Linked DNA regions of Stegostoma tigrinum. Each later gene encodes a partner of the first gene's protein in a complex. Links are inferred from orthologs where the notes say so. Each region holds a gene or a part of one and is shown on either strand. Other genes may lie near its edges. The genes, in order: meprin A subunit alpha-like and fetuin-B-like.

What was found.
Region 2: the proteins of meprin A subunit alpha-like (region 1) and fetuin-B-like are in contact, whole or in part, in a cryo-EM structure (PDB 7UAI), measured with the Homo sapiens proteins. The link is inferred for Stegostoma tigrinum from reciprocal best matches to the Homo sapiens genes MEP1A and FETUB. Residues at the interface, in NP_005579.2 of Homo sapiens: Asp126, Gly127, Cys128, Trp129, Ser130, Glu131, Val132, Gln145, Gly146, Cys147, Tyr149, Ile152, His155, Glu156, His159, Tyr164, His165, Gln167, Ser168, Leu184, Gly186, Tyr187, His189, Asn190, Asp192, Tyr194, Tyr214, Gln215, Phe217, Ser218; in NP_001362516.1 of Homo sapiens: Phe109, Phe110, Lys144, Lys145, Tyr148, Met149, Thr150, Cys151, Pro152, Asp153, Cys154, Pro155, Ser156, Ser157, Ile158, Ser196, Ser197, Gln198, Trp199, Val200, Val201, Gly202, Tyr205, Phe206, Thr242, His245, Trp246, Phe249, Val250, Ser251.

What each region holds. Positions count from the first base shown.
Region 1 is NC_081357.1:122,155,700-122,171,463, forward strand, and holds the start of meprin A subunit alpha-like, read right to left. Parts: upstream 5,871-15,764; 5' UTR 5,801-5,870; coding exon 5,735-5,800; intron 5,655-5,734; coding exon 5,630-5,654; intron 5,520-5,629; coding exon 5,466-5,519; intron 5,273-5,465; coding exon 5,232-5,272; intron 5,134-5,231; coding exon 5,058-5,133; intron 4,375-5,057; coding exon 4,257-4,374; intron 1,665-4,256; coding exon 1,489-1,664; intron 296-1,488; coding exon 74-295; intron 1-73. Other genes in the region: ankyrin repeat domain-containing protein 66, read right to left, coding at 13,509-13,773, 14,194-14,422.
Region 2 is NC_081367.1:51,961,138-51,976,427, forward strand, and holds the start of fetuin-B-like, read right to left. Parts: upstream 8,430-15,290; 5' UTR 8,344-8,429; coding exon 8,077-8,343; intron 6,571-8,076; coding exon 6,460-6,570; intron 4,619-6,459; coding exon 4,531-4,618; intron 2,578-4,530; coding exon 2,411-2,577; intron 1-2,410. UniProt on the Homo sapiens protein: Protease inhibitor required for egg fertilization.

The DNA.
Region 1 (15,764 bases):
TGGATTATTCCTTAAGTGCTTAACTCTCTCCAAAGTACTTTTATTCCAAGTAAAGACTGAAAACTGAACTTACTGCAGTTATACATGCGATTTAGCCTTAGCAAATCAATAGCACTGAAGTCCAATCGCTGTCCAATTATTTCATCAAATGCTGGTATCTTTGCTGTGATAGTAGGAGAACTGTCGTTTTTGTTGAACGAGAATGGTGCATAATGCATCAGAGATTCATAGTCATATGGAGTATTCAGGTCCGTAATGTAACTATCATCATACACCACAAAGTTATGCTCCATACCTACATAAAAGTGAAAAATTCTTGATTAGATTTTAGATTTACTCTATCAGATATTGAGTTATTACATCAATAGTTATGGATTCCCACCTCCTTTCACAACTCAAGGCCATTCCATGCTCAAAAGAGCTGGGAAGAATTCAAGTGAATTCAAAAGAATCATACGTCTTTAGTCAGTGCAGATTCTCTAATAAGATGAACATTGCTGGGCACTCACAAATCTCCCAGAAGCTTGTTCAAAATTAAATCCTGCATGTGTTAAATGATCTGCTTTAACTCTTTTGAAAGAGGAGAAGGGAAAATGTCTAAGATGAGACAGTAAAATTAAGTTGAATGTACTTTGTGGATCTATGCAATGTAATGCTTCATGAACAATGTTACAGATTCTCACCTTTAAACCTGGATGTGGGAAGGTTCAAGTCTCGAAGAATTTATAGACCATCAGTGCAGTACTGAGCCAGTGCTGCATTGTTACAGATGATAATACATGTTTTTTTCAAAAACACGTGTATTTTTTATACAAGCAGAAATTTGGCATAAAACCATTTTTCAGCAATAATTGTAAACATTGCAATCTGCTTAAATTAAATTCTACTTCATTCAAAAAGATATATATTTTTTGAGGGATTTTATACTTACATCATTAGCATAAAAGATGGGTTCTCATCAGATCAGTGATGTCTAATTATTTGTAACATAGAAGTAGAGCAACAATTTACGGACAGGAAAACAAAGAATCCCTAAAACAACATCCAACATTCTGTGTTTAACTGCATGGACTCCAGAAGTTTCAGAAGCATAATGATGTCACTGACGGTTTTACCATCATTACTATGATAAAATCTGGGCCAATACATTTTCAGAGGCATGTGATTTGCATTTTGACTGTAGCAGGTTTTAGAGAGTGTTTCGTTTCATTTCGGTCCACAGTAGGGAAGAATACTGCCATTTCTGAAATTTGTACTTAGTCTGGCAACTGGTTAATACCAATTGCCACTTTGGTCTGTTTGCTTGAATTTCCTTTACAGCAAATTTAGAGCAGAGGCTCCAAGCCACCATTTACTTCATTCTCAAAGGTGAGAAATTTTTAACTCATTGAATTTTTTTAAAAATAATCTGCTACACAGCTCAGATCTTTACTTACAGAACATATAGATGTCCCTATAATTGAAAAGAATGAAAATTTGAAATCCAACCTGGAATAATTTCATCCCACCAAATGTTAACATAGTCATCCCGGTCTGTCCTTGATTGTTCATGGTAGAATCCTAACGCATGTAGGAGTTCATGTTCAACAATAGCCTTATAGTCACATCGTTCACCAATGGATACATTTTGGCCACTGTGCAAGTCACCAACAGAAGACCAGCACCTGTTCAATAAAGAAATTTTTAGTACTTTATGTATAAAGGAAGATTTACATTTATATAGCACCTTTAATTTCAGCTCTGCTGGGGCCACTGAGCTCCTGACCTCATTAGAGCCTTGGTCCAAGCAATGACAGAAGAGTTGAACTCCAGAAGTGAAGTGAGAGTGACTGCTCCTGACATTAATGTGGCATTTGATTGAGTGTTTTATCATGTGGCCCCAGCAAAACTTGAGTCAATAGGAATTAGGGGAAAACTCCCATTTGGTTGGAATCATACCTGGCTGAAAGGTTGTGGTTGTTGGAGAGCAATCATCACAGTCTCAGTACATCACTGCAGGTGTTCCTTTGGATGGTGTCTGAGACCCAACAATCTTTCTTTGTTTCATTAATGACTTTCCCTTCAACACAAGGTCAGAAGTGGTGTGTTTGTTGGCGATTGCACAATATTCAGCACCATTTGTGGCTCCACAGATACCCAAGCAGTCATATTCAATTATAATAAGACCTGAACAACACCCAGGTTTGTGCTGATCACTGTAACATCCATGCCACCTGAGTGCCAGGTAATGGCCATCATTAACAACAGAGAATCTAACCATCTGCCACTGACATTTAATTGCATTTACCATCTTCCACATATCCCACTATCGACATTTTGAGGGTTTTACCATGGACCAGACACTATTCTGAGTCAGTCTTTTGTAAATACTGTGGCTGTCTTGAGTAGAACAGAAGCTCGAAATTCTGCAATGAGTAATTCACCTTCGGTCTCCTCTATGCCTACCAGGAATGTATGGAATACTCTCTATTTTTTCTGATGCGTACAGTTCCAATGACACTCAAGAAGCTTGACACTGTTTAAACGCTCGCCTGGAAGGACAAGGGCAGCAGATGCATGGGAACACCATGAAGTGAAAATTCCATTCCAAGCCACAAACAATCTGCTTTGGATCACAAGCTGATTTTATTGCTACAGCCCTGGATTGTGGTCATAAAGACATACAGCATGGAAACAGACTCCTCAATCCAACCAATCCACATTGGCCATGTTACTAAACTAAACTAGTCCCACCCATCTTCGCTTGGCCCATGTCCCTCCAAACTTTCCTATTTGTGAACTCAGTGAGATGTTTTTTTTAAATGTTGGAACTGTATGTACATCTGCCACTTTCTCTAGCAGTTCATTCCAACACCAATGACTCCCTGTGTAAAAAAGTTGCCCCTAATGTCCTTTTTAAATCCTTCTCCTCTAACATTAAAAATATGCCTCTTAGTTTGAGTCCCACCCTGCATCTGATCCACCATCACTACAGGTAGCGCCTGACCTCAACATGAATTTAAAAGTGACAACACGCATGCAACTCAGGCCCTGAGTGAACTGGAGCTCTATGGCTAATGGAATCTATCAAATTTTACATCTTTTAAAATTAAAGAATTTAAAATTAAATAAACTCAGTTGTTAGTGCGCAATCCTATACGCAATGAATTTTCTTTTATCTGTTCCACTATGATAATTCTTCACACTAAATGCAACAAGTAGAAAGTCTTTCTCACAGTTTTGAAAATATATCAGTATGAAGCAAGTCAAACATTTAATACAAAGCTGAATTTTGCTTAACTAACGATATCATCTTCACATTCTAAAATCATCTGTTGAATATTTGAACAGCATGCTTTTTTTAAAACTGTCAATTCATTTTGCTTTTTATTTCTTGACACTTCTGATCATATTCTTCTACTCTGGGTACAATTGCACTTCTTTATTCCCCTTTCCTTACAAATATAAGCAACTAGTTTGCATCTGTTACATTCTCATTCAGTACAAATCACCTTCAAGGCCCCAAATGTCAATTTTCTGTTTGGACTGAAGTTCCCTATAGTTAAATGATGTAAATGATGTCGTTAAAAGTTCCTTACTATCTTGTCTAAATAAGATGTTATCAATCAACATACATCCTTGTAGACAATTTTGACAGAGCAAAAGACTTCAAAACTAAAATGGACATGGAGATACAGCCAGGAATTTAGAGAAGCATTGGAGAATTCCGCCTGACCGTAAACTTAAATATGCAAATTTGGAGGAAGGTTTTAGAAGGTGGATGCCATTTAGCAAGGCAGGAGGGTGAAGAAATTACTTCCAGACTGATAGGTTGTTAGCTGAAAAGCTCTATACTAAGAGACAATCTTCATAATCTAGAATCAGTAAAATTTAAACATGCAAAATGAGAAATGGAGTTAGAGAACTCTGTAAAGGGAGGTCAAAGTGAACTTGCGAATAAGATTGTGGAATTTAAAATTCTCATGCTATAGCATGGGAGTAATAGATTTAAGTGAGGATTGTTTTTATAGTTTCTGAGGTTATAGTAGAAAATGTGATAGTTTGGTCTACCATATGATTTAAACCTTTGCATAGGAACTATGTGGAGAAATAATGAATTGCTCTACCTTTGCTCAAACACTGAACATGCCCATAGAATATTCCTATTTGCAACAAACTACTACCCAGAGCAATCTAGTTAGACGATATCAAGTTTTTGTGCAATAACATGAATTCTGCTTTGATTTGTTAATGCAACCAAATGATTTTGTACGTACCCATCCAATTTTTGAAAAATTAAATATGTTTCTTCGCCTTCGTAAGGTTTGAAATCAATGCAGGATTTTAAGCGATACTGCTCAAATGAGTGCAAGATTTCACCCTTGGCATTTAGATCTGTAAATCAAAGTACTAAAAAATGAATAATTGATTTAAATAAAACATAAAATATATTGATCTTCATTTTGCAACTGATAAGTTAGTTATAAAGCAGCCATTTCAAAGAGGTAAAAACCTCGCAAAAAATGCACAAAGCACCATATCCTAATCAAAAAGTACTACAATTTTTTTTACAGTATACATGCGAGATTTTGTCTTACAAGCAGATATATTGCGATGGGCAATTTATTATCAATTATTGAGATCTAAGATACTGTATGCAAAAAAAGAAACGATCGAATTCTCAATCCTTTGCACAGGATCAGAAAATGGGAAAGCCCTAAGTAATTACCCATTCAACTCAGATCTGTCCTCTGATGCATCAAACAACTTTCCATTACTGTGCAAATTATTGTACTTAAAAATTTGTAAATAATTTTGTTAATGGATTTGAATTACGTCCATGATTTAATTTGCCATGACTTCCCCTTAGGATTGCAACAGCTTGTAATAAGTAAATTGTTAAGGTAGAATTAGTGTATCAGTGGGTATGGTTGGATACTTGGAAATATTAAATCTCAAATAAAGTAATATCGAGGTAGCAATAATACTCTTCTAACAATAGGTACTCAAACTAAGATGTAAATCAATAGTACTTCAATGCATTCTGATTATTGACAAGTTTGTATAGAAAGAGTTACCAAGGTTGTCAGCCAGAATGTATGGAATAGGAAATTTCCATCTTGATGTTGGATCTTTAAGAGCATTCCGTTCCCGCTGTAACAAAGTGAGCAAATCAATAATGCATTCAAAATTGGAAGTATAGTGTTAGAAATAGGTTTCTTAGAAATCAATGTAATATGTCTCACACTTACACTCTGTGCAATGTCGCCTTGAAACAGAAACCTTTGGGATTCTAAGAACAAGATATTTAGAAAAGTACAGCAACATTAAAATGCTCTACCTGCTGATCAAAAAAGTCTCACCAAATAACGAAGTGTAAATTGCATTAATATGAAGAATTTTAGGATATATATTTATTAGGTTTGAAAGAATATAACTCAACAGATGGTAGAAAAATGAGTTTTCTGTTTAAATTTTGCACCTACCTAAATTTATTTTTGGAATATCATCTCGAAAATCCCCAGGATCTACATCATAAACTGGTTAAGGAAAAATAAGATTTTAACAAGTTAATTTCTGCATTCGAAGAAGCTGTGATTTTTTTTTAAATAGAGCATGAAAGTAAAGGATAAAATATCTCAATACATACCATTCTCAGAAGGAGTCTGCCTGATCTGGAAAAAGAAGATTGATATTTGTTGAAATGGCGAAAGAATGACAAATAAATTTTTAGCTTGCAAGAATTGTATCTTACCACCAAAGTATTACAGTGGGTGATCAATAATGTTGAGAAAAGGGAAAACAATCCAGAGAGGTTCATGATTGAAGTAGTGGATCCAAATAGCTTAATAGTGCCGTGTTATACAGACACACTAAGTTTAGTTTCTCTATTTCCTGGACTTTGTACAGTAAATTTATCTTTACAGCATTTTTGTCACATGCAACAAAATTTGCCGTGATGAAAATCTGCAGTGCTGGCAGTATGTTAAGAGGGCAACAGTCACCCAATGATCTTGCTTGTAATAGTAAAACAGACATCCGGAGTTTAACTACATTCTTTCAAAAGACCCTAGTCTACAGGATACGTGTTGTTTTTTTGTAGATTATGAAAATAGTACAAATGGCTAATGAAAAAGTGAGAAATCCTTACAACAACTTTTCCTCTTTCTTCAATGAAGAGTACAAATGTAAATTTTGAAAATTACCCAGCCAGCAATTCAAAGAAGATAATATTGGAATGCTTTTATTTATTTGGCAGCCTTTGGGCCAGGAGGTGGTGGCTGTGGAACACCTTGCAAATTTACATTCTCAGCTCAGGTTGACCGTCTTGTATAGTACAGAGGATTGTAGGAAAACAGGTTTGAAGCATCCGATGACACATTTAAGGACCAATTAATATAACCACTTCATATGCTGCAAGCTACAAATTGCCCTTCAGACTGTGGTGGTCATCCCTAGTAATGGCTACAAAAAAGTCCAAACAGGCCCATGGGTATTTGGATACTGCCCTAAGAATCCTGACGGATGGAGTTACCAAAAGGTCAGTCCTCTTCATGGGGAAATGCATAAGGAAGCCAGCCTACCAGACCTATTCTGTCTGAACAAAGATTGTAGCATGCTTCATTGTTCTGCCATCTAAAGAACAGGGCAGCCAACTGAAAACCATAAGTGATCTTTTACAATTCACAAGAATAAATTGCACCATCTTCTTTTCTTTAGTTCTTTCAGTTACCTCTTACTCCTAGGGACACAACTCCCTCTGATTTTACCATCAGTGAAAGGGAAATGGACAGCAAAGTCTCAACATTATGTGCACAATGTACGCTCATGGCACAAGGCTCATCTGAACCTTTCAAAATAATAAACTTGCACTTCCTGCTCAGTCACTTGAGATGCCTCACTACATTGCCTGGTTGTGCATTCTCAAAAACTGTTCCTGCTTCCATTCCCCATATACATAAACTATCTCTTTAGTTCATCTCTGGAAACATTGGCCCACAACGGGGGGGGGGGGGGGGGGGGGGGGACATGGTGGACATCAGGAATGGATGGTTAGGCTGGCCAGTAAAGTCTAGGGCCAGTTTTCTGATGCTAAGGAGAGAGCAATAGGCCATCAACTCAATGAGCTACATAGCACTCTGCTCTTCTCAGATAGTGCCAAACAGCTTCACTTCACCTTCACAACGGCAGACATTGGTAGCACCTAGGAAATCTCAAGCTGGAAGAGGTCACAGCCTGAACTGCTCATCATCAGAATCCCCTCATGTGCTGCAGTCAACCTGCAGGGGAACATCAGGCAGATTATGCTGGAGATCCTCAGAACGCTGGAGTGAAAGATTGAGGAGTCTGTCCATGATAGTGATGGCTCTGGTATGTGAGCACTTGGCTATCTCCAAGAAAAGGGTAGCAGCTGGCTTGGAGATCTATCGCAGTAGAATGTTCACTGGCTGTCAGAAATGCACTGAGATCCAAATTCCATTGCTTTAGCCCCATACTTGTTCGGCATCAATACCAAGATGAAATGCAGTCAAGGTGAGGCACTTCAGCCTTACTCCACCTCTCTCAGGTAGACAGGAGGGTACCAGGAGACGCCCACAGTTTGGAGGAAAGATTGACAGGCACCCCTGCAACATTTTCTTCTCAGGATGTTCCAAAAGTGCCTGGTTCCTCCATCTCTCCCCTGTTTATGACTTCAATTCATGCAGTCGTTCATGTTGACTATGACGAGCACACATCTGGGCAGGAGACTCAGCCGACGGAAGAGCACCAGCCCCTGCAGATTCTCCACTCTCCATTCAAGCTCTGCAGTAGAATCATAACAGGCTATTGTTAGTTGTCAGGATATGGCAGTTCTAATCCAAGACATAAAACCTTAGATTGTGCAACTTGGTCATTTTAGAAGATAAAACTGTGATGGCAAGTATCTTCTTGCATTGAGTGCTGCTGACAGATCACAAGGTGGCAATCATTGGGGACAATGTAACCATGATGAGTCGTTATTAGTGAGTCTAAATTGGATTAGTTGAACAATATTAATTTACAGATTAACGGTGAATTTAAAGCAGACGGCAAGCATTATTCACTTGAATAATGTTAAAGTGAAGGGCTCTTGTGATGCAGTGGTAGCGTCCATATCTCTGAACTGAAAAGCCTGTGTTCCATTCCCAACTGTTCCAGAAGTGTGTTCTAACATGTCTCAGCAGGCTGGTTTTATAAACAATGAGTTATGTGACCCCTTATTTGGGACCAAATCGCAGTGCTACATTCCAACCCTTTTGAAAAGAAACTGTATTTACTGCTCCAACTTTTGCAAGCATTTCATTCCAGTCCCAGACGTTATTGCACGGTTGATCAAAGTGATAAGATTCCAACTTTGCACTGCATAAGCGACTTGCACACTTTGCTTGTGACCCACAATTTCCCCCATTGTCCCTTTTTGCATCGCCATCCCTATGACCCTTCACTCACACTCATGTTGGTTAATTCCCAGTTTTGCACTGTTTGCAGCCTCAACAACCCCTTGGACCGACCCCAGAAAAGCCCTGGATTATGTGCCAAACACCCTGATTGACTGTGGCCTGGACTCGACTCTGAGGATCAAACTCAACAGATACTATTTCGTTCTTATGTTGAATTTCTGCAGTTTCAAGTTTATCAACAGGGGGAAAATAATTAAGATGCAGAAGTTAATAGGATAAGTTGTGTAATTAATGAGATGCAAAAACATGTTAATAGGCACCTAAGCATCTGAGACCAGAGTGAGAATTTGTCTTCAGACAAATGAGAAATTTTCACAGATAAGTGGAATCGAAAATTGACTCAGTGACAGGAAACAAGGGGTAATGATGTTTCTTGCAAATGATAAACGGTTTCCAGTTAGGTTCAGTTTTGCTGTCTGGGCCACATAATAATGATTTAGAGTGAAATGTAGGAGGCATGACTGGGGAATCTGCAGATAACACAAAACTTGGCTGGGTGGTAGAAAGTAAAAATGATGGCTGTTGACTATAGGAAGCTAGCAATGGTTTGGTTGAATGGCTGGGAAATAAGGGAAATTCATTCCATTTAATTGAAACAAGTAAGTGAAGTAAGAGACAAAAATCAGAAATTGCAGGAAAACTCAGCAGGGTAGGCAGCATCTCTGGACAGAAAGAAGAGTTAATATTTCAAGTCCAGTGACCCTTCTTCAGAACTATTCTGTTAGGAACAACTCTTCAGCTGTTCTGAAGAAGTCACTTGACCTGAAACATTAATTCTGCTCCCACTCCACAGATGCTGCCTACCCTGCTCGGCTCTTCCAGCAATTTCTGATTTTGTTTCTGATTTCCAGCATATGCAGTTCTTTGATTTTGTTTGGTTCTTGGAGTGCATGTCCACGAGTCCCTGAAGGAGGCAGGGGAGATACATAATGTCAGAAAGAAGGTGTTCAGAAGAATGAGGCAATATTATTGAAACATACAGATTTGTTTGGAGACTGGTTAAGTGTAGAAAGGATCTTTCCTCTAGTTGGAGATTGTAGGATCAGAGGGCTTAATCTCAGAATAAATAAAACAGAGATGAAGTTTTTTTTCTTTCAAAGGTAGTGAAATAGTACAATTCTTCACCACGGAGAGCTGTTAAGGCTTGGTCATTTAGTACCTTCAAGATGAAAGAAACAGATTTTTAATCAGTAAGGGATTCAAGGATTGTAGGAAAATGCAGGAAAGTGGAGTTGAGAAATATTGGATCAGCCATGGTCTCATTGCATGGCAGAGACTACTCTACTCCGAGGTCTTAGTTTGCTTTTTATTTAAAATGTAGGTTAACCATTCGCAAAATTGTTACATCTGTAACTATCATGACTAATTTAGGACTGGCCTCAAGCTGCGCATTATGGTGTTCATTACACTGCACCTTAATTTACAATTTTTGAACTCCCTGACATTGCACAAATAGTCGATTTAGAACAGGAGTAGGAAACTCTGATAGAGCGTGTTTGGATTGATTTAATTTCACACTAAGACAATAAATGTATGCACTTACTAACAAGTGATGGCGTGCACCTGAACAGACTTGCTTATTTTCAGTACAACACATTTACATTTCATGCTATATGTGCAGGAAATAAATTTTGATCCGTACCACCAAATGGAGATGAATTGATTTGTTATTTCATTGTTTGTTGATGCCTGCTCTTCCTTTGTCAGCAAATTAAATCACCTTCCCATGCTTACATGCTAATGTATTTATCAAAAACATTGGCAGCAACATAACTCAAAAGTAATCAATTCAAAATGCTTTTGAATGGGCTGACAACTATGATAGAGTACTACACAAAGAACAGCTCTTTCTCTATATGAAGGAGGTTTACCATAAATAACATATGGCCCAGATGACCATTTATCAAGTAAGAGTAAATAAATAGATACTTCCTAATCTCATAGTTTAATTAAAATTCTGTTCAGAAATAGCTGTTATTGTTTATAATTAATACCTTTACAGGGCAGGCACTACAAATTCAATGGCTGTCATCGTAAATAAGTAAACTAGAGAGTGAGATAATAGATGGGTTTGCAGGTAGGTGGACAGAGTGACAGGGAGGTCAAGGAAAGACAGGTTAGGGTGCTATTCAAAGTAGTCAGGGTTGAGTCAGTTGTGGTAGGGAGTAACGTAGGTGAGGAGTTGTTTAGAGATCTGGAGAGGGTAAAAAAGTGACTGATGGGCTATTCAGGTGGAGCAATTTTGTGATTGGAGTCTGTACCTTGATGGCAGTCACAGCATCAGGATGATAGTTTGAGGGATCAGCGTGAACGACTGGGTTATCAGTTTTGGAGTTATCCGAGAGTTACATTAAGAAATTTTTGCTAGAATTTCGGGAGTAACTATCCTGATAAGTCTCAGTGGATTTGTTCCAAGTCTCTGACTGGGGCTCAGAGAGTTGTTTGAAGGATGAGAGAGAGCAGGGGACTTTCCCCAAGAGATGTTGTAAATTTTTGAGCATTTTGCACATAGGTCAGCACCTCAGGACTTCCAAGAGGCCCTAGCTTGTATCTCTGGTCCTATAGCCAGTCTCTGACAATCTGCAAATTTGTGCTGATGCTTTGGAGGACATGCTCAAAAATTGTTCTAAATGGTATTTTTACATTCAACAGTTTGTGGTTTAGTACAGAGAATACCCTTATGACATGTAAATAATGTTGTCCCTGGCAATGAAATCCTTTGCAGTATCATGAATATTTCTAGTGAGAATTTCAGAGTTGTTTACATTGCATTTACAGGCTGTACAAATTTAGATTTACAATAATTATTCAATAGCAAAACTTTAAAAATTGATTTGTACTGAAAACATGTATAGGAAATGTCTGCATAAATTATTAACTTAATGAAGTTGATCAATTATTTTTCTGCAGTGAAGCACAAGGTTCATGCAACACTAATTCATCCATAAGGATTTCACAGTTTAATTGTGCAAGAAGAAAAGTATACTGTGATAAGGACCCACAAGCGATTTTAAAAAGCAACGCAGGATATCTCACTCACTCTATCTTTGAGTTAATGAACTCATCTATCCAACACCGCACCCCCCCTCACCCTTGCTATCTCTGCTGACAATCTTGGAAACTGATCATAAGCTTAAAATCATGATGTGCCATGCCTTGATACTGCAAAGGATTTCATTGTCAAGGACAACATTATTTACATGTCATAAGGGTATTCTCTGTACTAAACCACAAACTGTTGAATGTGAAAATACCATTTAGAACAATTTTTGAGCTTGTCCTCCAAAACATTTTGCAGGATAACATGTCAAAACAAACTGGTTTTTTAAAAAATCTATTTTTAATGGGTGTAGTAAGATCACCTGTAACTTTTCTGCATCTGCTTTAATGACTTGACCACATGGTAGGGCTGCATTAAACTAAAAACAAGTTACAAAGAGGAAAACAAAGTGTCAACAAAATAACAGATAAAACGTAAAACGTAAAGATTTGAAAAGTGAGTCTCACTCTCAACTGGTACATTTATTTCAGTTTCATGAATCAAGTAACTGGAATAAAGTTACAACAAAAAGGTTCCCGTTTCTAAAACTGGAAAGTAAATTGTACATGATCAAGTGACTTACAAAACCAAATGTCTATGTGTTAAGTATACAATTTCCGATATATATTAAGTTTCTCAGAGGGAAAAAAGAAGCTTCAAATAACAACTAATCACAGACACCACTATCAGAACACAGAAAGGGGCATTTTTCAGTTGTAACTGTAAAATTTAAATTGTGTTTGTAACAAATAAACCAAAACTTTCATCAATAATTCAAATACTTTTCATGACTAATCTTCCAATTATTCCACTAGACATTTAAAAAATCCCCTGCAGAATAGTTGAACAGTCGGTAATGACTCTAGGACAATTGTAAATTTGAATTACATTGTATAAAGGGACATGATGCTATAACACTGGAGTACCAACTAGCATTGAAAAGCGTATTTGATGTTTCACACTACTAAGTTGTCAATGTAAGTGCAGAAATCAATACCTTCGGGGTGTTAATTAAAATATGACATGTGCAGCAATAGGTTGCATCATTTCTGACAAGAATCACCATAACTTGCATTATAGGGATAGGCACGTGAACTGCAGATAATCTGGGTTAGTATTTGCAGGATTATATTTTGAGAGATTGATGGGGATCTCACCTACCAGTGGAAAAAACAGCAGGAATCCCTTTTCAGTTCTATGATGGAAATTCAACTAAATCCATTGTCCTTCAGGCAGTTGAGTGGCCACCTTCTGTGCCACCACATTTGAGTCTGTGGTGGTGAATGTTTCGCCCACTGAGAGTGCCGGTCAATCAGAGGACAGGATAGGGATCACTGGCTATATCTCAGGCAACAAGGGTTTGATTTTCATTGATGTACTCACACCCGAAAGCAATAACAGAGATCACATCCAAGTAGAGGGCCTAATCACAAGACAATCTCTTAAGAGGGCTCTAGCAAAGTCAACAAAGTTAACCCACGCAGATATGGTTGCATAGGTACTTCTGAATAAGGATCCAAAAGATGATGGATGCACTGATTCAGTGGAATTTTTCTCAGTGTTGTACAGGTTTCTAGAGGAAATTGTTTTCAGACATCAAGTCCCTGAAACTTCAGTTGCATCAATATCAAGCGACTTTGGGCCATATTCTTCAATGTAAGTCTACTAAAGTGCATTATTTGACAAAAATTTAGAAAACCTGTGCAGGTTGGGTCTTTTGTGAGGGGTAAAAGTGGGTAAATAAGCAGCACAGAACTTGGAATATCTTTGGAGTGCCAATCAATGAAGTATCGCTGTTTCAGTGTAAATGTACTGTATGTTAATTTCCTCAAAAGAACTGGCATAATGTCATTCTGACTCCACAGTTATAGTAAGGCTTGTGTAATACACACACTGAAGGCTGACATACCACACAATTATGGTAGTCCTCTTTCTGTGGTGTACAAAACTACTTTGATCAAGTTTAGGTAATGCTGCTGAACTGGTCGCTGGTTATACCTGACCTGGAGCTAGATCTTACCTTTCTTTTTTTTACAAGCCCTGTTAGTATTTGATAACTTTCCTTTTGGAGTTACTGTCTTAGGTCTCACTGTGCAAGTACAGCCTTTGTGGCTTTGTTGAACATCATGTACATTGTTACTCTTATTCTGGACAACTGCACTTATTTCAGCCAGTTCTTCTTCTTTCTGAATTTCCCACTCTTCGTCTGTGTCATCTAACACAGTGCCTTTCGTTTCAGCAACTCTCCTGTAATTGGAACACTCTTGCTCAGCTCTGCAAATAAAAGGAATTTATCCATTATACCAAATTTCAGAATAACAAATGCTCTCAATTTTTTGAATTTTGCAACTTATTTCAAAAACTATCTCTCTAAAAAACTTAGTTATGTTCATTATTTAAGTATAGTTTAAAAATCTTATAGCTTCAAAACTTGACTTCCTACTACGTCTTTTGGTCAAATTCCATCCCCGCCCGCGCTCCCAATAACTACAGGTATAAACTCCTCGGTCCACATTCATACTGGATTTGGTTTTTGTCATTAACGTGAATGTGAAATCTGATGACTGGGTTCACACAAGTTAATCAAAATGCTTTACCCAATTTTCCATCATCACCCACGTCTCCATAATCCATTTCTGTTCGAGAACAGTGCAATACAACGTCTATCCAAAACATTTATATGCAACCACTTACATCTCAAGAAATTGAACACAGTCTTTCTGCCCATATATTTCTGCAATTCTTCTAGGAGTGTCCCCATAAAGATCTGCTTTGTCAATAGGAGCATGTAGAGAATGTAGCATTCGAAGAACGGGTAACCTGCCAGATTCTGCGGCAAAATGAGCCGCAGTCCATCCAGTCTCAGTTCTCAAGCAAGGTCGTGATCCATTCGCGATTAGAAGTTTAACCATGTCTGATTTTCCTGTCAGTGAAACAAAATAAGGTAGTCACATTAAAGGTTAAACGAAATACGATTTACATAAAACTTAGTTAAATTCTCCAGACATTCATATTCACAGCTCTTTTTGAAATTTTACAACTGGAAAAATAGCTCAGTTTAACTGAACTGAGCTGGGCAATGTTATGATTGGACTATCCTTTCAGGTTCCTGGCAACAATTATTTTTACAATATAACTAAATTGATTTCTGCAATTTTTTCCTTACTTTAAAAGGCTAACTCTATTAAGTATTTGCCTTTTTTTGCATAAACTAGGCTCTCTGATGAAGGGTCTAGGCCCGAAACGTCAGCTTTTGTGCTCCTGAGATGCTGCTGGGCCTGCTGTGTTCACCCAGCCTCACATTTCATTATTGCTCCATGGGATTTTCTCTAATATGTTTAAATTACTAAATCGGCAAGAATGACCAAAATGTCCCATTTTGATGTGACCCTAAAAAAATCATTTCACATACAGAAACAGTGCAGTCTTACATCACGTGCAAATTTGCTAGTACGCACGAGTCAAAACCAGAAGTAGAGAAACAAAGGAGGTAGTTACAAAAAGATAGACTACAACCTCCAAATTAGAAAAATATAGAGGTAGAAAAATACAATGACAAGGGGACAGCCTAGTGGCTAACTTTGCTACTACAATAATGTTCTTTATATATTTTCAGATCAATCTATGCAGAGATGTTGTACACACCTCTGGAGCAGGTGGGATTTGAACACGGCCTGCTGGCCCAGAGGTAGGAACACTGCCACTGCACCACATCTTATCCTACAATGAATTTCTAATTTTAGTTGAAATTGCAAGCGAGAACCTGACCCCTAAAAAAATTAAACAGCACATACTAATTTTGTTTCAGCTGTACCTTAAATAATAGCCTGGATTTTGGTCTTTATTTAAAAGGGGCAGAGGCTTAGTATGGGAAAGCCATACCCAGAGTACTCTGTTCAGTGAAAGAAGGAGTATGTACTTGCAGTGAAAACAATTTAGAGAAGGTTCACCCGGCAGATTCCTGGGCTGAGTTTAGAAGAAAGAGACATGAACTTTTGAAACATAAGATTCTGAGGAGGCTTGAAGATTAGATGCAAAGACGATGCTTCACGCTGTGGGGAAATCTGGAACAGTTTAAGTATAAAAGTCGAAGATAATGTTAACAACTAGCCTTTAGAAATCTTTTGGACAGCAGTGGAGGCTGGGTCATTGAATATATTCAAGATTGATCACATCCTCCAACGACCAGATTAGAAAAATATAGAGGTAGAGAAATACATGACAAGGGGACAGCCTCGCAAGCTAACTTTGCTACTACAATAATA
Region 2 (15,290 bases), on another chromosome or scaffold:
TGAGAAACACAAGAGATATGCTCTGCTGGTTAAACTTAAGCAACAAAATCAAGGACCACATCAGTGCAATTCTTGTAATAAGGGCCAAGCTAAGTATGCTAGAGAGCCACTGATGACATGTGACATCTCAGATGGACCATGGATGAAGCTGGAAATAGACTTCATCATTCACTCAGGAACCGATTATCTTGTCATATAGACTCCTATTTTAACTGTTAGATGGACGAGATGACTTCAATGACTACCGGCGAGATTGTAGAAAGTCAATTTACACATTGCCATTATAGCATTCCATGCAGTGTGATAAGCAATAATGGTCCTCAATCACAGGGAAAGAAGTCAGCTACTTCACAAAGGACTGGGAAATTCAACACCATATATTAGCCCCAGTCAAATGACTGAGTTAATCATGAAAATTGTCAAAGGAATCAAGCAAAGCCAGACCTGATGTATACAGAATAATATGCAACTGGAAAAACACATCCATAACATGGAAAGAAGTCCGGTATGAAAATTGATGTCATGCCATAAAACTACTTCACGAGCAAAAAACTATTGAAGCCAAAGAAATAATAGGCATGAGTAACAAAAAATCAAGGTGAAATAACGGAAAACTAAATTTCAATTTGGCAACAGCATCAAGTCATTGGCAGAATTACGTACTGGAGAGCCTGTCAAGGTAGAAATCTTCAACTCATTCAACACGAGGCAGCACATGTTGCAAGTTAGGATCTATGTGAAGAAGTCATCACCTCAATCATACATGATGGAGGTGAATGACTGGATATATTATCACAACAGTAGGTACTTAAATACGATTTGAAAAAATGTTGTCTTACTGCAGGTGATTGATGAAGAAGATATGAATTGACAACCTGCACAGCATACACTGAAGCAGAGGCAGTGATTAACCAGATTCAGGTTCAGTGGGATGTTAAGCCAGCATTGCACCTGTAACAGTATTTCCATTGATTCATGGAGTCATTGAGTCATAGAGTCATTGAGATGTGCAGCATGGAAATAGATCCATCGATTCAACACATCCATGCCGACCAGATATCCTAAATTAATCCAGTCCCATTTTCCAGCACTTGACCCTATCCCTCTAAACTCATCCCATTCACATACCCATACAGATGCCTTTTAAATGTTGTAATTGTACCAGCGTCCACCAGTTCCTCTGGCAACTCGTTCCATACACACACCACCCTCTGTGTGATAAAGTTGCCCCTTAAGTCCCCTTTAAATCTTTCTCTCTCAACTTAAACCTATGCCCTCTGGTTCTGGACTCAGGGACCCCGTGGAAAAGACCTTGGCTGTTCACCCTAACCATGTCCCTTATGATTTTTTGAATGTAATAAGGTCACCCCTCAGCCTACAATGCTCCAAGGAGAATAGCCCCAGCCTATTCAGCCTCTCCCTATAGCTCAAACCCTCAAGCCCTGGCAACATCCTTGTAAATCTTTTCTGAACCCTTTCAAGTTTTATGACATCCTTGCAACAGCAGGGAAACCAGAATTGCAGACAGTATCCCATAAGTGACCTAACCAGTGTGCTGTACAGCCGCAACATGACTTCTCAACTCCTATTATCAATGCACTGATCATTAAAGGCAAGTATATCAAATGCTTTCTTCACTGTAGTCTACCTGCAACTCTACTTTCAAGGAACTATGAATCTGCACTCCAAAGTCTCTTTGTTCACCAACAGCCTCCAGGACTTACCATTAAGTGTATAAGCCCTGCCCTGAATTACCTTTCCAAAATGCAGCATCTCACATTTATCTCAATTAAACTCCATTTGCCATCCCTCTGTCCACTGGCCTATCTGATCAAGGTCCCATTGTACTCTGAGGTAACTTTCTTCACTGTCCACCTCAGCTCCAATTTTGGTGTCATCTGCAAACTTACTAACCTAGCCTCCTGTGTTCACATCCGAGTCAGTTACATAAATGTCAAAAAGCAGTGGACCCAGAACTGGTCCTTGTGGCACACTGCTGGTCACAGGCCTCCAGTCTGAAAAGCAACCCTCCACCATCGCCTTCTGTCTCCTACATTTGAGCCAGTTCTGTATCCAAAGGGCTAGTTCCCCCTATATTCCACATGATCTAACCTTTTGAAAAGATTTTGGATTTTCTTTCAAACTTGAAATACTCAGAGACTTTGGAGACAACCAGATAGGATATCAACTGTAATGTAATTAATGTTTTGTTGTTATCCACATCTCCTTAGAAAGCAACATTTTCACTGTCTCTGCAATGTTCGATATAAAATTGTTATTCTTGGACAGTAAATCTCAAACTGTGCGGACCTTTTCACAAAATTTTTCTTGATAGTATCTGTAGAAATATCTTTAAACAAAAGAAATGTTCAGACTTTTTCCTTAAGCTTTTCTGAAAAAAAAACTTTACCTGAGAGGCTGCTCTTGTTATTTCCTGGACTGCAAAATAATTTGTTGTGTTGCTGTTTCTGTTATATTTTTGCAATGCTGTCATGGCAGCTGGATTGACATCCGAATGGTTTAATGGTATGCGATGTGGGCAACTTGGGCATCTGCTCAAAACCACGTCATCTGAGTCTTCAAACAAAATAGAAAATGTAGAGTAAACTCGATAAAGTTGTAAAAACCGAAAGAACTGGATTCTCTCAATCAAGAACAAAAACACAAGTTGCTGGAAAAGCTCAGCAGGTCTGGCAGCATCTGCAAAGAAAAAATCAGAATTAACGTTTCAGGTCTAATAACCCTTCCTCAGAACCGTCGATAAAATTTTATTTAAGTTTTTAACTACTCTTTACATTTTCTCTAAATGTTTTAAATTATTGAAAATATAGCCTTAAAGGAATAACCTGGTCAAGTGTCCAGACTACATGACAGACAGTTGGATATCATGGCTTTTCACATCCATGTGTTTGTTTTAGTCATGTCAATCTCCACATATAATAATATTACAGGATTTCAGCATACTGCTGGAATGTGAAGATTGAAGAAGACACTGCCAGATACTCAGTAACAATCTCCATAGTTGTGTTACGGGACACTAGTATTCCACAATGATTGCAGTAGGCACTGTCATGAACTATGGCAGTAGCAATCTCCATAAGATTGTTGGAACTTCCATTAGCGATTAGAACATGAAACTTGGTAATGCATGGGGCTGGATAATACATACCTCTGCCTGGTGCATTTTCAGTGGGAGAGGTGAGGAGGCTAGCATATAAGATAGGATGAGTGCCCAGCCCACTAATCTCACATCTACCCTTGAGCTTACCCCCTTAATAATGTGGGTGGGTAGTGGCAAAATAATTACATAATAAAGAGTCTATTGAGGCTGTTAAAAGCTTAATTGACCCTAATGTTATCCTGTCCATTTCATGGCATGGTTGGCATGGGTAGGCAGACACAAATGGACAGTATTTTTTTAAGATTTTAAGACAGCGGGCAAGCCGTACACTCTTTGGGGGGTGTCCTTTGCACATTAGGAACCCCCCCGCAGAAAATATTTTGCCCCTTTATGGCTCCTGAGTCGGCTTCTTCTTCGCCGGCCAACTAGCCACTGATTTTGCTTTTAGAAAGACATGCCTGTAAATTTCTGCCCAAGGATTATCTGGGACAAGCGGCACAAACGCATTTAAGGAGAATTTAGATAAGTTCATTGGGAAGAAACGACAAGAGGCTTAATTTGGATTTGGTAAATCTAATGGATGTGAAGCATCAACACCAGCACACAGTGGAAATTCAATATAATTCAGCGTTAGATTCTATGATAGCTCAAGGTATTTTGCCATGTGTGAGTTTGACCAGATCTGACAGACAGTTCCAGCAGCAATCATCATTGAGTAAAAGTAGGATTGATGAAGTCTTCATGAGGACTATAAAGGCAGTGTAGTGGGGGCAGGGGAGTAATGGTAATATCCCTGGACTGAAGCTCCAGGCTAATGCTTTGGGAACATGGGCTCAAACCCTACGATGGAGAAAACATAAATCATTAAAAATAGCCTCGATTTAAAAAATAAAGTTAGACAAATAGTGACAAAATGACCTTCATTGATTATTGTAAAAACCCATCTTGTTTACTAGTGTCCTTTGGGGATGGGAATCTACCATCCTTACCTGGCCTGACTTCTATGTGACTCCTGATACACAGAGATATGGTTGACTGCAAATTGTCCCATGTAATGGCTGAGAGACCCAATCGGTTCAAAGGCAATTAGAGATGGGCAACAAATGCTGACCTTCCAATGACACCTACATGCCAAATAAGAATTTTAAAAAGAACAAGCCATAATAAGACTCTCTTGCGGGATAATACAGGGTACTGCAGGAGCAAATATAATGCCTAGCAAACTAGAGCAAAATATTTAAGACATAGAGGCCAAGAGGGAAACAAAGGGTTGAAAGAAATGCTTGGAATGAGAAAAGCCCAGTTTGGTGAATTATCCTGTTAATGAACCTGTTCAAGGTGAGCAGTGTTTTGAATTTAATCTGCCTAGTCGACAACAAAAATCACATTACCACAATTCTCTGCCATACCTGGTGATATTAAACATCGGTATCTGTGAATCCGAACAAGTCGCGTTGTTGGGTTGATTTGTAATTGGACTTTACAGTCGCCAGAAATCTATTTGAGTTAAGGAAAATATACTTTGTCAGCTATTTGCAGTTCGCTTGTCAGCCCGCTACACTTTTTTCTCAATTCAGGGGATGAGTGAAGAAGCTCTGTATACAGCTGTAATCAGAGGGGCTGTTGTGGTTTAGTGGGAGTATTATTGCTCTGGGTTAGGAGATCCGAATTCAAGTCCCACCTGCCCCAGAGATGTGTCATAACATGTCCAAAAAGGCTGACTAAAAAATAAACATAGATAATGGGAACTGCAGTTGCCGGAGAATCCGGGATAGCAAAGCGTAGAGCTGGATGAACACAGCAGGCCAAGCAGCATCTTAGGGGCACAAAAGCAGACGTTTCACCAGAAAAAGGGTCTAGGCCCGAAACGTCAGCTTTTGTGCTCCTAAGATGCCACTTGCCCTGCTGTATTCGTCCAGCTCTACATTTTGTTAAAAAATAACCATAGCTGTTTTCAGCATTTGCCCTTAATTCTAAAACAGGACACAATAAAATTATGAGATCTCCATCTCATTTAGTTCATGATTGACTAAACATTTCGCAGTTTTCTTTTGCAAAAAGTAATTTTATGATTGGAATAAGACATAAGCAATCAGCTTTTTCGATCTCAGCCTGACAGAAATATATAAGTACAATTTGTTCTGATTATAAATAGGAAAATCAGTTTGGAATCGACACTCCTACTCATCATTCAGTGTACTGCCTAAGGTGTCAGTTTAGCAAATGATTAAATTGAAATGTGATGCTTCACAGTCAAACAGTTTGCCAGCTTCCACTGTGATGATGTACATGTGACACAATGGCCATTTGAGCAAGGTGCTGGGGAAAATGGTCAACATTAATAAAGTAATCCTTCAGTGGTGTGATGGCTAGATGATTGGTTTGCAATTTAAAGGGATGCCAATAGCATGGGTTTGATACCCACACCAGCTGAGATTACCACAAAGAATTCTCCTTCTCAACCTTTCCCCTTGGGTGAGACCTGGTGACTCTCAGGTTAAAACACCACCAGTTATGTCTCTCTCTCTAATGAGAGTGCAACTCTTTGGTCTGATAAGACCATGGCAACTTTATTTTTGTTGTGACCAAAGAGACATTTTAAAATAATCCTTTGGGGAGTTATTTCTGGTGTTGCAACCAATATTCACCTCTCAATCAACTGAAATAAACAGGTCAGTAGCATTTATCTGGTTCAGTAACGCATTGTTGTTTGTTGGAGTTTATTGTGGGTTGGTTGGTTGGTTTCCTAAATTACAACAACAATTCTCAAGAAGTATTTAGTTGGCTATATAAATGTTTTGGGATATACTGTGATCATGAAAAGCATGTTCATAGCACAGCCAAATGAGTTGTTTATCAACCTGTGAATCTTTTCAATATGCCTATAGTAGGCAGTAGGAGCACGAAAGTCTTCTGGCCAATGAAGTTTAATGCTGAATGGTTGACAACCTGTTGCAGGAAAACCTGAACACAGAAACAGACTACATTGCCTCAAAAGCCACGATAATACAGAAAAAAAAATTCTTCCTCCCTGTCCCGTGTATAATTTCCTTCACTGAGTTGGAGGCTAGTGTAATCACAAAATTCTATTCAGCTGGCATTCTGTACACCAAAAACCTGCTGGGAAATCAATGCTACCTCAGTTGTTCCTGAGATACCACAGCAGTGCAGATAGCAAGCGAACAGTGATGGCCTTAGTGTGGGCGCTGATCAGATCATTTTACAGGGATAGACACAGTAAGTGAGTGGCTCTTCCCCATACACATTTCGAAGAATATTAATAATATATTTAAATGTAAATGTCTCAGCTAGCTTATACGTTCAAAAGAGAGATTTACCGCCTCAGATCCTGATCGTACTTCACATTCTGCCACAGGTTTTGGGTTCAGTGAGTGGCATGTAGTCTCCAATACCTCAAACTCTAAATAAGCAGAGGATACACCTTGCTTCTGTAAGAAAAAAACAAGATTTATCATTGACCAAAAACAAATCTGTCACACTTACAGAGCTATGATGCATATTCATATCAAAAGCCTACTGAAACTGAAACAAAACTCCCACAAATGGAAGTTGAGCGATTGAGCAAAATATGAACAGAGTTGGAAAATGCAAGCCTATTTGAATGGAGAAAGACCAAGAGAACTCTGCAGGACTGGATAAACTGGATGTCCTCATGCATTTATCACAAAAGGTTGGCATGCACATACTCAGGTAATTGGGAAGACAAATACAGTGCTAGCATTTATTACAATGGGATGGAAATAAAGAAGTAGAAATATCTAGTGCAACAGTATAGTGCATTGTTGAGATTGCCTCTGGGGTATTTGGTATAGTTTTGGTGCCCTTACTTAAGCATGGATAAACTTGCATTGGCAGCAGTTTATAAAAGGTTCACTAGACTGATTGCTAGGTTGAAGATCATGTACTTATGAGGAAAATTTGCACAGGTTGGGCCAATACAGATTGGCAGTTGAAAGAATGAGAGATGTTCTTATTGAAACACATTAAGATTCTAAGGAGGCTTGACAGGCCAGATGCCTTGAGGTTCTTTCTTCTCTTGACCCTTGTGAGAATCTAGAAGTGGGTAGCAACTTTTCAAAAGTAGGGATTTTCCATTTAAGATGAAGGTGAGAAGGAATCTCTTCTCTCAGAAGGTTGTTAGTTTTTGAAATTCTCTTCCACTGAGAACAGGGGAGGCTGGGTCATTGAAAATATTTAGGGCAAAGTTGGATAGATCTTTGATCAACAAGGAAATCAAGGGTTATGGGAGGCAGATTTAAAATTAAAGTTACGGCTATAATCAGACTGGCTAAGATCTTATTGAATGGCAGAGCAGACTCATTGGGGGCCAAATACCTACTCCAACTCCAATATTTCATGATTTTATATACTAAATTGCTAATTGTACCCGTTGTATTTTTAACTGCACATTGATACAACAGTGACATTGTAAGTATATACATATCATCCAATTTGGATCAGCTACACTACGAATGTTGCCAACAACAATAGAATGATGTTTTAATTAGACCATAGGTAGGAGCATATTACAGCATTGCTTCAAATACAAAAGGTTATGCTTAAAGAAAACTGCTACAATGAAGATATTGTGCTCACCTTGACAATAATAATTTAAGCTAATTTCAAAACGATACTGATCAATGATCTTGAACAGTGGTTGCATATAGCAGAATTTAGCTATAACAGTCTCAGTGAAACTGAAAATACTGGACATATACTGCAGGTCTGCCAATAATTGTAGAGTGAACTTTTTGTCGGAACTGCTGAAAATACCATTCATCAGAACTATCCCCAGGTTACTTTTGTTGTCAATAAATAATCACGGTATATGGTTAATAGAATGTAATAGAATGTTTATTTTCAATTGTTTCTCTTTTAAATGCAGTCCCATATCAACTTAACTAATCTAAGTGCTATATTTTACTTGTACTCACCCCTCTGACTTCCTGGGCATTTTCAATTTTGTTTAGCGTGTACTTGTATCCTCCTGGCTGGTCAGCATTGATGTGTTCCACAGCTAGATCTGCTGCTTTCACTACCCTTGCCTCATTGCAGGAAAGGGCTCTGTAAGAGGCTGAAAGGGAGAGCTGGAAGAATTGAGTGCTGATCAGCAAAGCAATAAACAGGCTCATGTTGTATGACAACTGCAATAATGGAGTTGTACTGTGTTTAATAGACAGCGCATTTGGTGGCTTGAGCATTAACAAACTCACAGTGGCATTGATAACTTCACCACAGTAGGGTAGAATCCAATTGTTCAGCTACTTGTCTAAATGCCATGTGATTTCAGACTACATATTTGACTATGGGAAAAACAAACATGTCAAAACAAATATAAAAATTGACAAAATCAAAGAATTTCAATGACATAGCAAATTCTAAAACAAAGGTCATTTGAATCACTCATACCGTACAGTTACTACTGTAGTTAGTGAAGGCCTGGGCTATGTTCTCATGATGGTTAAAGGAATGCTTCACCTGAAACCTTACCTAGAACGGCCACACCCGGCAGAATCAAATACCAAATTAGCATATATGCAGGCGAACATCTGCTTGATGTGGAAAGTCTTCTTGGAGCCAGGGATGGGGATGAGGGGGGAGGTGTAGGGGTAGGGAAATTATGCTGAACTTGTGCAAGACACTTGTTCGACCTCAGCTGGAGTACTGTGAACGTTTCTGGAACAACAATATAATGCGAATGTGAACGCATTACAGACAGTACCAGAGAAACAAAAATTGTTCCACTTATGAGAAACTTCAGTCGTGAAGATAGATTAGAGTGGTTGGGATAGCTCTCCTTGGACAGAAGAAGGCTGAGAGAAGATCTGACTGAAGATTTAAAACCACGAGAGGTCTGACTGTCCCCATATAAGAATATTGAGATTGGGAGGATGCAGTTCTAAAGTGACCTGCAGAAAAGAAAATGTGATGTGAGAGAAAATGTATTCACACAGCAAGTGGTTGTGGTCCAAACTGCACTGCCTGGGAATAATAGTGGAGACAGAAGAAGCATTCAGAAGAGCATTGAATGATTATTTAAATAGGAATAATGTCCAATGTTATAGTTAAAAAGGCAGATGAGTGGTACTAAGACATAATTTTCATTGGAAAGCTAAAGGGGCCAAATTACCGCATGAAGCTCTGTAATGTGATTCTGTCATACCACAATGTCAGCTTAAACTGCTCGTCAAGTGGCTTTCATAGCAAGTCTAGAGGGTTAAAGCAAAGGAACTTCTTAACAGATTCTAGGCATAATTCAATACAATATGACTGAAAATTGGAATAGAAAAATCAGGGAACCGCATTCTTGAGTCACAGCTCACATGATGGTCAGAAGCCAAAAACCTGTAGAACCAAGTTTCATAATCTTGGCCTTCCGGAAACCAGATTTTATGAATCTATAGTAGAAATCAATCATTTACAGATTGAAGAGAAATTAAGAAAATTCCTAACAGAATTGTAGAGACTGACCTAGTTTAGGGACCAAAGCCATGCAAGTGAAAGAAGCATTATTGGGAGACTGATCATAGCCATAACTCAGTGAGATTTAAGGTAGCCATGGATAAGGGCAACGATGGACCAGATAAAAATTTGATTTTGTGTGAAGGCCAATTTTAACATGATAAGACAAGATCTGGCCAATACAGACTGGAAGCATTTACTTGTGGAAAATCTATGTTAAAGTAATGGGAGTCTATCAAATAGGAAAGAGTAACATTGCAGGGACAACATGTTCCTGTAAGAGTGAAGTGTGGGCCTAAAAATTCCAGTGAAGCCTGAATATCAAGGAATGTTCGAAATTGCATAAGGAATATATAGTGGATACTGAGGGCTTAGAGAACTTGTAGACTTAAACGCGAATAGAAACTGGAGGCGCTCCTTCAGAAAGAAATTATGAAAATGAAGGGGGGGGGGGCGGTATGAAAAAATATTGGAAGGTAAAATACTGAATGGGCCCATTAAGGGCCTGAGTGACAAACTGTGGATGGAACTGGAAGAGGGAAGCAAGGTTTTAAATTAGTACTTTACACTCGTTAATGTTTACACAGTCATTGCTGCACAGGGAGTGTCGTAGGGGGCTGAGGATGCATGTCTGGGGGGCTTCAGTGTTATCATGGAGAAGCTGCAGTTGTCTATCTTCACATCTTGTGATCTGTGGGTCAGAAAGCCCAGGATACAGTTGCAGAAGCTTTCAGAAAGGAAATTAGCTCCAAACTAAGACCTTCGTCCCTATGCTATTCATCCAGCAGAGGGCAAGTGATTGGCTACGCAAAAAGGTCAGAAAACAGGGCCTGTTTATGGACTCCCAGGGAGGGGCCTCATTTAAAGGTACTCAGTCCCTAAACTGAATACCTGATACAGAGGTCTTCAATGCTTGACCTGGCATTGGCAAGTATGGGGGTAGACCCTGCTGCTACCATCCCCTGCCCATCCCACATCATCTTTGTTCACCTCTAGCCTGGAGAACCTCAGCAATCCTGGGCCTCCAGTGGTGGTACAGCCCATGTGGTTGTTCTGTCTTGGGGATAGACCCCTGGGGCCTGTGCTCCTGAGGAAGACCAGTCTAAGTTGCAGCAGATCTTCATGAAAGGAAATGATGCGGGACCCTTCTTCAGACACGTTGACCTTCGTGCTCCTCTGATGCTGCCTGACCTGCTGTGTTCCTCCAGCTCCACACTGTGTTGTCTCTGACTCCGACATCTGCAGTTCTTGCTATCTCCTGATGCAGGACCCTAACTTGCTTTCTTGCTGGGGCATGACCGTCCCAATACTTGGAGGAAATGCTGCCTAATAACTCTTTAACATCTTCTTTAATTCTTATGATAAGTTGCCTGTATGAATCCTCAATGGATCCAGATTCCCAGTTTCCACATTTATATATTTAGGAAACGTTTCTTTGTTAGCTTTGAAATCATTCGAAAGCTATTTTTTCCCTATTACTTACAACACCTTTTTTAATAGCAACAAAGTTGCTGTGGTGCTCAGATCATCTGACTGTGGTACACATCAATGGATACAGCAATGCTAGCCAGGAATGCAACACAAGCTCCTTTGTGTTTCTGTCCTTGCTGCTGCTGACAAGGTTCAGTGCTAGCAACAAACCCCACAGTCCCCCTGTGGATGACTACAATCCCAGGGATGGGATTGTTCTCAATGTTTCCATCTTGCTGTCGGTCAGCCTATTTACCACTTGTCTGAAAACAACACGCTGTGATTGCAAAGAATCTGAATTTCTCCCTTTTTTGAGGTTGGCTTTGAGTTGTGTAAGATCAATGGTAGTGGCTGAAGCTCTTGCAACCTGCAACAATTCGAATGCTTACTCTCCACGCCGAGTAAGGCTTGTCACCAAGAAGACCCTGTAAGACAAATATACATTGCAATTCTCAGTGGTAGTAAATAGGGTCAGAATTCTTCTGAGGTACTGCAAGACCGAGTTGCCTTAGTATTAAAAGGTAGGTGCAAAGGTTACAGTTGGGCAGAGTTGGGAGAATGGATGTATGTGGGTAGTGATATACTGTAGGAAGATTCCCCTCCCCTCCAAATTCAACAGCAAGAACTAATGCTTTTTTTAATGTTCAGTTTTTGAACACAGCAAACTTATTGAAGAGTAATGAATGGTAGACAAGTACTGTAACTCCAGACCTCTACTCCATCTGACAATGCCTTGAGAAAGCCATCGGGAAGGAGGACTGTGGAAACATTGCTTTGGTAACTGGATCAGACAGATTGTGGGGGCTTGACAGGGATGGGGTAGGGGTACAAATGTTCCTGCTGATCCTGTTCCATAAATAAAGTCACCATAAGCCCAGGTAATATGCTCTCATTACAGAGAGATGACTGGTGACAAGTTTAACCTCAGGTTCACCACTCCCTTGGCTAGGGACAAGGTCAGTAAGGTGTAACTTTCACAGCAACCTCAGCCTGTATAGGAATTCAACCTGCACTCTTAATGTCACTCTGTATCACAAACTGGCCCCCAGCCAAATGAGGCATTGCCTCATGATCAATTTCTGAGCCTCCATTGCAAAAGAAGCAGAGGTTACCCAAAGCTGGGCTGGAAGGCCGTAAGAAGTATGGGGTGAAATTTATAAGGAAATTATAAAAGAAGCCATAAAAAAAATTATCAAGTCTGTAGCAGGGGGATGATAAGGAATGAGACTGCTGTATGTCAGAACTGTGTCCATCAGAACTGCTGCCATGATACTGGGTACTAACCAGCATAATGTATTAAACAAGATCACACATCATCAGTGAGGGATCATTTTTGAGGTTGAGATGCTTCAAGTGCAAAGTCATGTCCAAGCAGTTGATAGCACCCTGCATCATGGGGAAATGCTTCAATCTGTGAAGCTACCTGTAAACTCCCCTTCCTTACAGGGAGCACAATGAACCAACCTTTTTCTGAGAGTAAAAAACCTTACCACTGATGCACCAGGGATGCCAGACCTGGGGATAGTTCTGAAGAAGGTTCACTGGACCCAAAACGTTAACTCTGCTTTCTCTCTACAGATGTTGCCAGACCAGCTGAGTCTTTCCAGCAATTTCTGATTTTGTCTCTGGAGATAGTATGTTGGTCGCCTGTTCCATCTTCCAACAATCGGGGTGAAAAAGAGAAAGATAAAGAAAAGAAGTTCAGGGCTGCTGTAACCTTTCCAGCCATTGGCAGCTTGTCCCTCCATGAGACTGAGGCTTTGGTGTGAGTGGAGGCAGAATTCTGCCTCTGCACTTCTTCCAGCCCACGTTACTGCCTGGGAAAATGATAATGGCCAAGCACTGGTGGTCTGACCAAATTCTTGCAGTCACAACAAAATCAGTTTCCACTGACTGCAGAATTCAACAACTTTAACAAATGTTTAAAACAACATCATTTACAGAAACTCAGATAGCACCAACAAGTCCATAAGCCCACTTGATGTAGGTGCAGAATTAGGCAATTCAGCTTGTTGAATCTGCTCCACTATTCAATCATGTTACTCATGATATGTTTCTCAAGTCCATTCTCCTGCTTTCTCCCTGCAACCCTTGACGCCCCTTATCAATCAAGAGCCCAGCTGTCTCTGTTTTGTATACACTCAATGGCCTGACCCCACAACCTTCTGTGGCAGAGTTCCCCAGATTCACCAACCACTGGCTGAAGAAATTCCTCCTCTTCGCAGCTCTAAATGACTCACCTCACACTTTTCAGGGTTAAACTCAATCTACCACTTTTCAGCCCAGCTCTGCATCCTATCAAAGTCCCTTTGTAGCATAGAACAGCCCTCTGCACTGTCCACAATGCAACCCACCTTCATATGATCCGCAAACTTACTGACCCAACCTTCCGCTCCTACATCCAAATCATTTACAAAAATCACAAATAGAAGAGGACTCAGAACAGATCCTTGTGGTAGAGATAATGGGAACTGCAGATGTTGGAGAATCCAAGATAACAAATTGTGGAGCTGGATGAACACAGCAGGCCAAGCAGCACACCGCTTGTAACCGAGCACCATGTTGAATATTTTCCGTCCACTTCCACCATTTATCTTCTAGGGGTCAGCCAATTCTGAATCCAATCTGCCACATTTCCCCCTATCCCATAACTCCTTACCTTCTGTGTAAACCTACCATGGGGAACCTTATCAAACGCCTTACTTAAATCCATGTATTCCACATCCACTGCTCTACCTTCATCCACATATTTGGTCACCTCGTCACAGAATTCAATAAGGTTTCTGAGGCATGATCTACCTCTCACAATCTACATGCTGATTCAAACTCTGCCTTTCCAAGTGATCATAAATCCTATCTCTCAGAGCCCTTTCCAATAATTTGCGCACCACTGACGTAAGACTAACTGTCCGATAATTTACAGGGTTATCCTTATTCCCTTTTTTGAACAAGGGAATGGCATTTGCCTCTCTCTAATCTTCCGGCACTATATCCGTGGAAAGTGAGGACGAAAAGATCATCACCAAACCTGATCGAGTGCTTCTCTCTGTTATCTTTGTATCATCTGAAAACTTAGAATGATGCCCTCAGTTCTTGTGTCCAGATTGTTTATATATGTCATGAATAGTTCTGGTCCCACCACTGAGACCTGTTGAACTCTATTAGTTACCAGCTGCCATCTTGAAACAGATCTCTCTATCCCCACTCACGAATTTCTGTTGGCCAGCCAATCTATCCATGCCAGCACTGTGTCCCTAACACCATGGACTTTTATCTTATTTAGCAGCCTCCTGGGCCACACCTTGTCAAAGGCCATCTGGAAATCCAAATAGCTCAGGCCCAGGGTTCTCCTGGGTCTAATTTACTCATTAACTCCTCAAAGAATTCTAAAAGATTTGTCGGATATGAACTACCTTGACAAAGCCCCTCTGCTGACTCAACCCTATTTTATGCTACAATTCCAAATACTCCATAATCTCATCCTTAATAATGGTCTCTAAAATCTTACTAATGACCAAGGTCAGGGTAACGAGTCTATAGTTTCCAGCCTTATACTTCCCTCCCTTCTTAAACAGGGGAATTACATTGGGCATTTTACAGTCATCTGGGATTCTTCCTGACTCTAGTGATTCCTGAAAGATCACCACCAATACCTTTACAATCTCCACAGCTGTCTCCTTCAGAACTTTGTGGGGTGGTCCAGCTTCTTCACTGGATTTATCCACCTTCAGACCTTCCAGCTTCTCTAGCAACATTTCCTTTGTGGTGCCCAGCATACTCACCTTTGCCCACTAACTCTCCTGAAGTTCTGTTATGCTGCTGGTGTCTTCCACTATTACAGCCAATGCAAAATTCCTATTTAGTTCCTCCACCATTTCTGTTTCCCTGCTACTTTCCCAACCTCATTTTCCAGCGCCTCTAATCCACTGTTGCCTCTTTCTTACCTTTAATATACCTAATAAAACTTTTGCAATCTTCTTTTATACTATTAACTTGCTCACACTTTAATTTCATCTTCTGCCCATTTATTGTTTTTTCTAAAAAAAAATCAAGCAGATGCTGTAAATCAGGAACAAAAACCGAAGTTGCTGGAAAAGCTCAGCGGTTCTGGCAGCACTCGTGAGTTCTGAGGAAGGTTTACCGGGCCCAAAAGGTTAACTCTGATTTTTTTATTCACAGATGCTGCCAGACCTGCTGAGCTATTCCAGCAACTTCT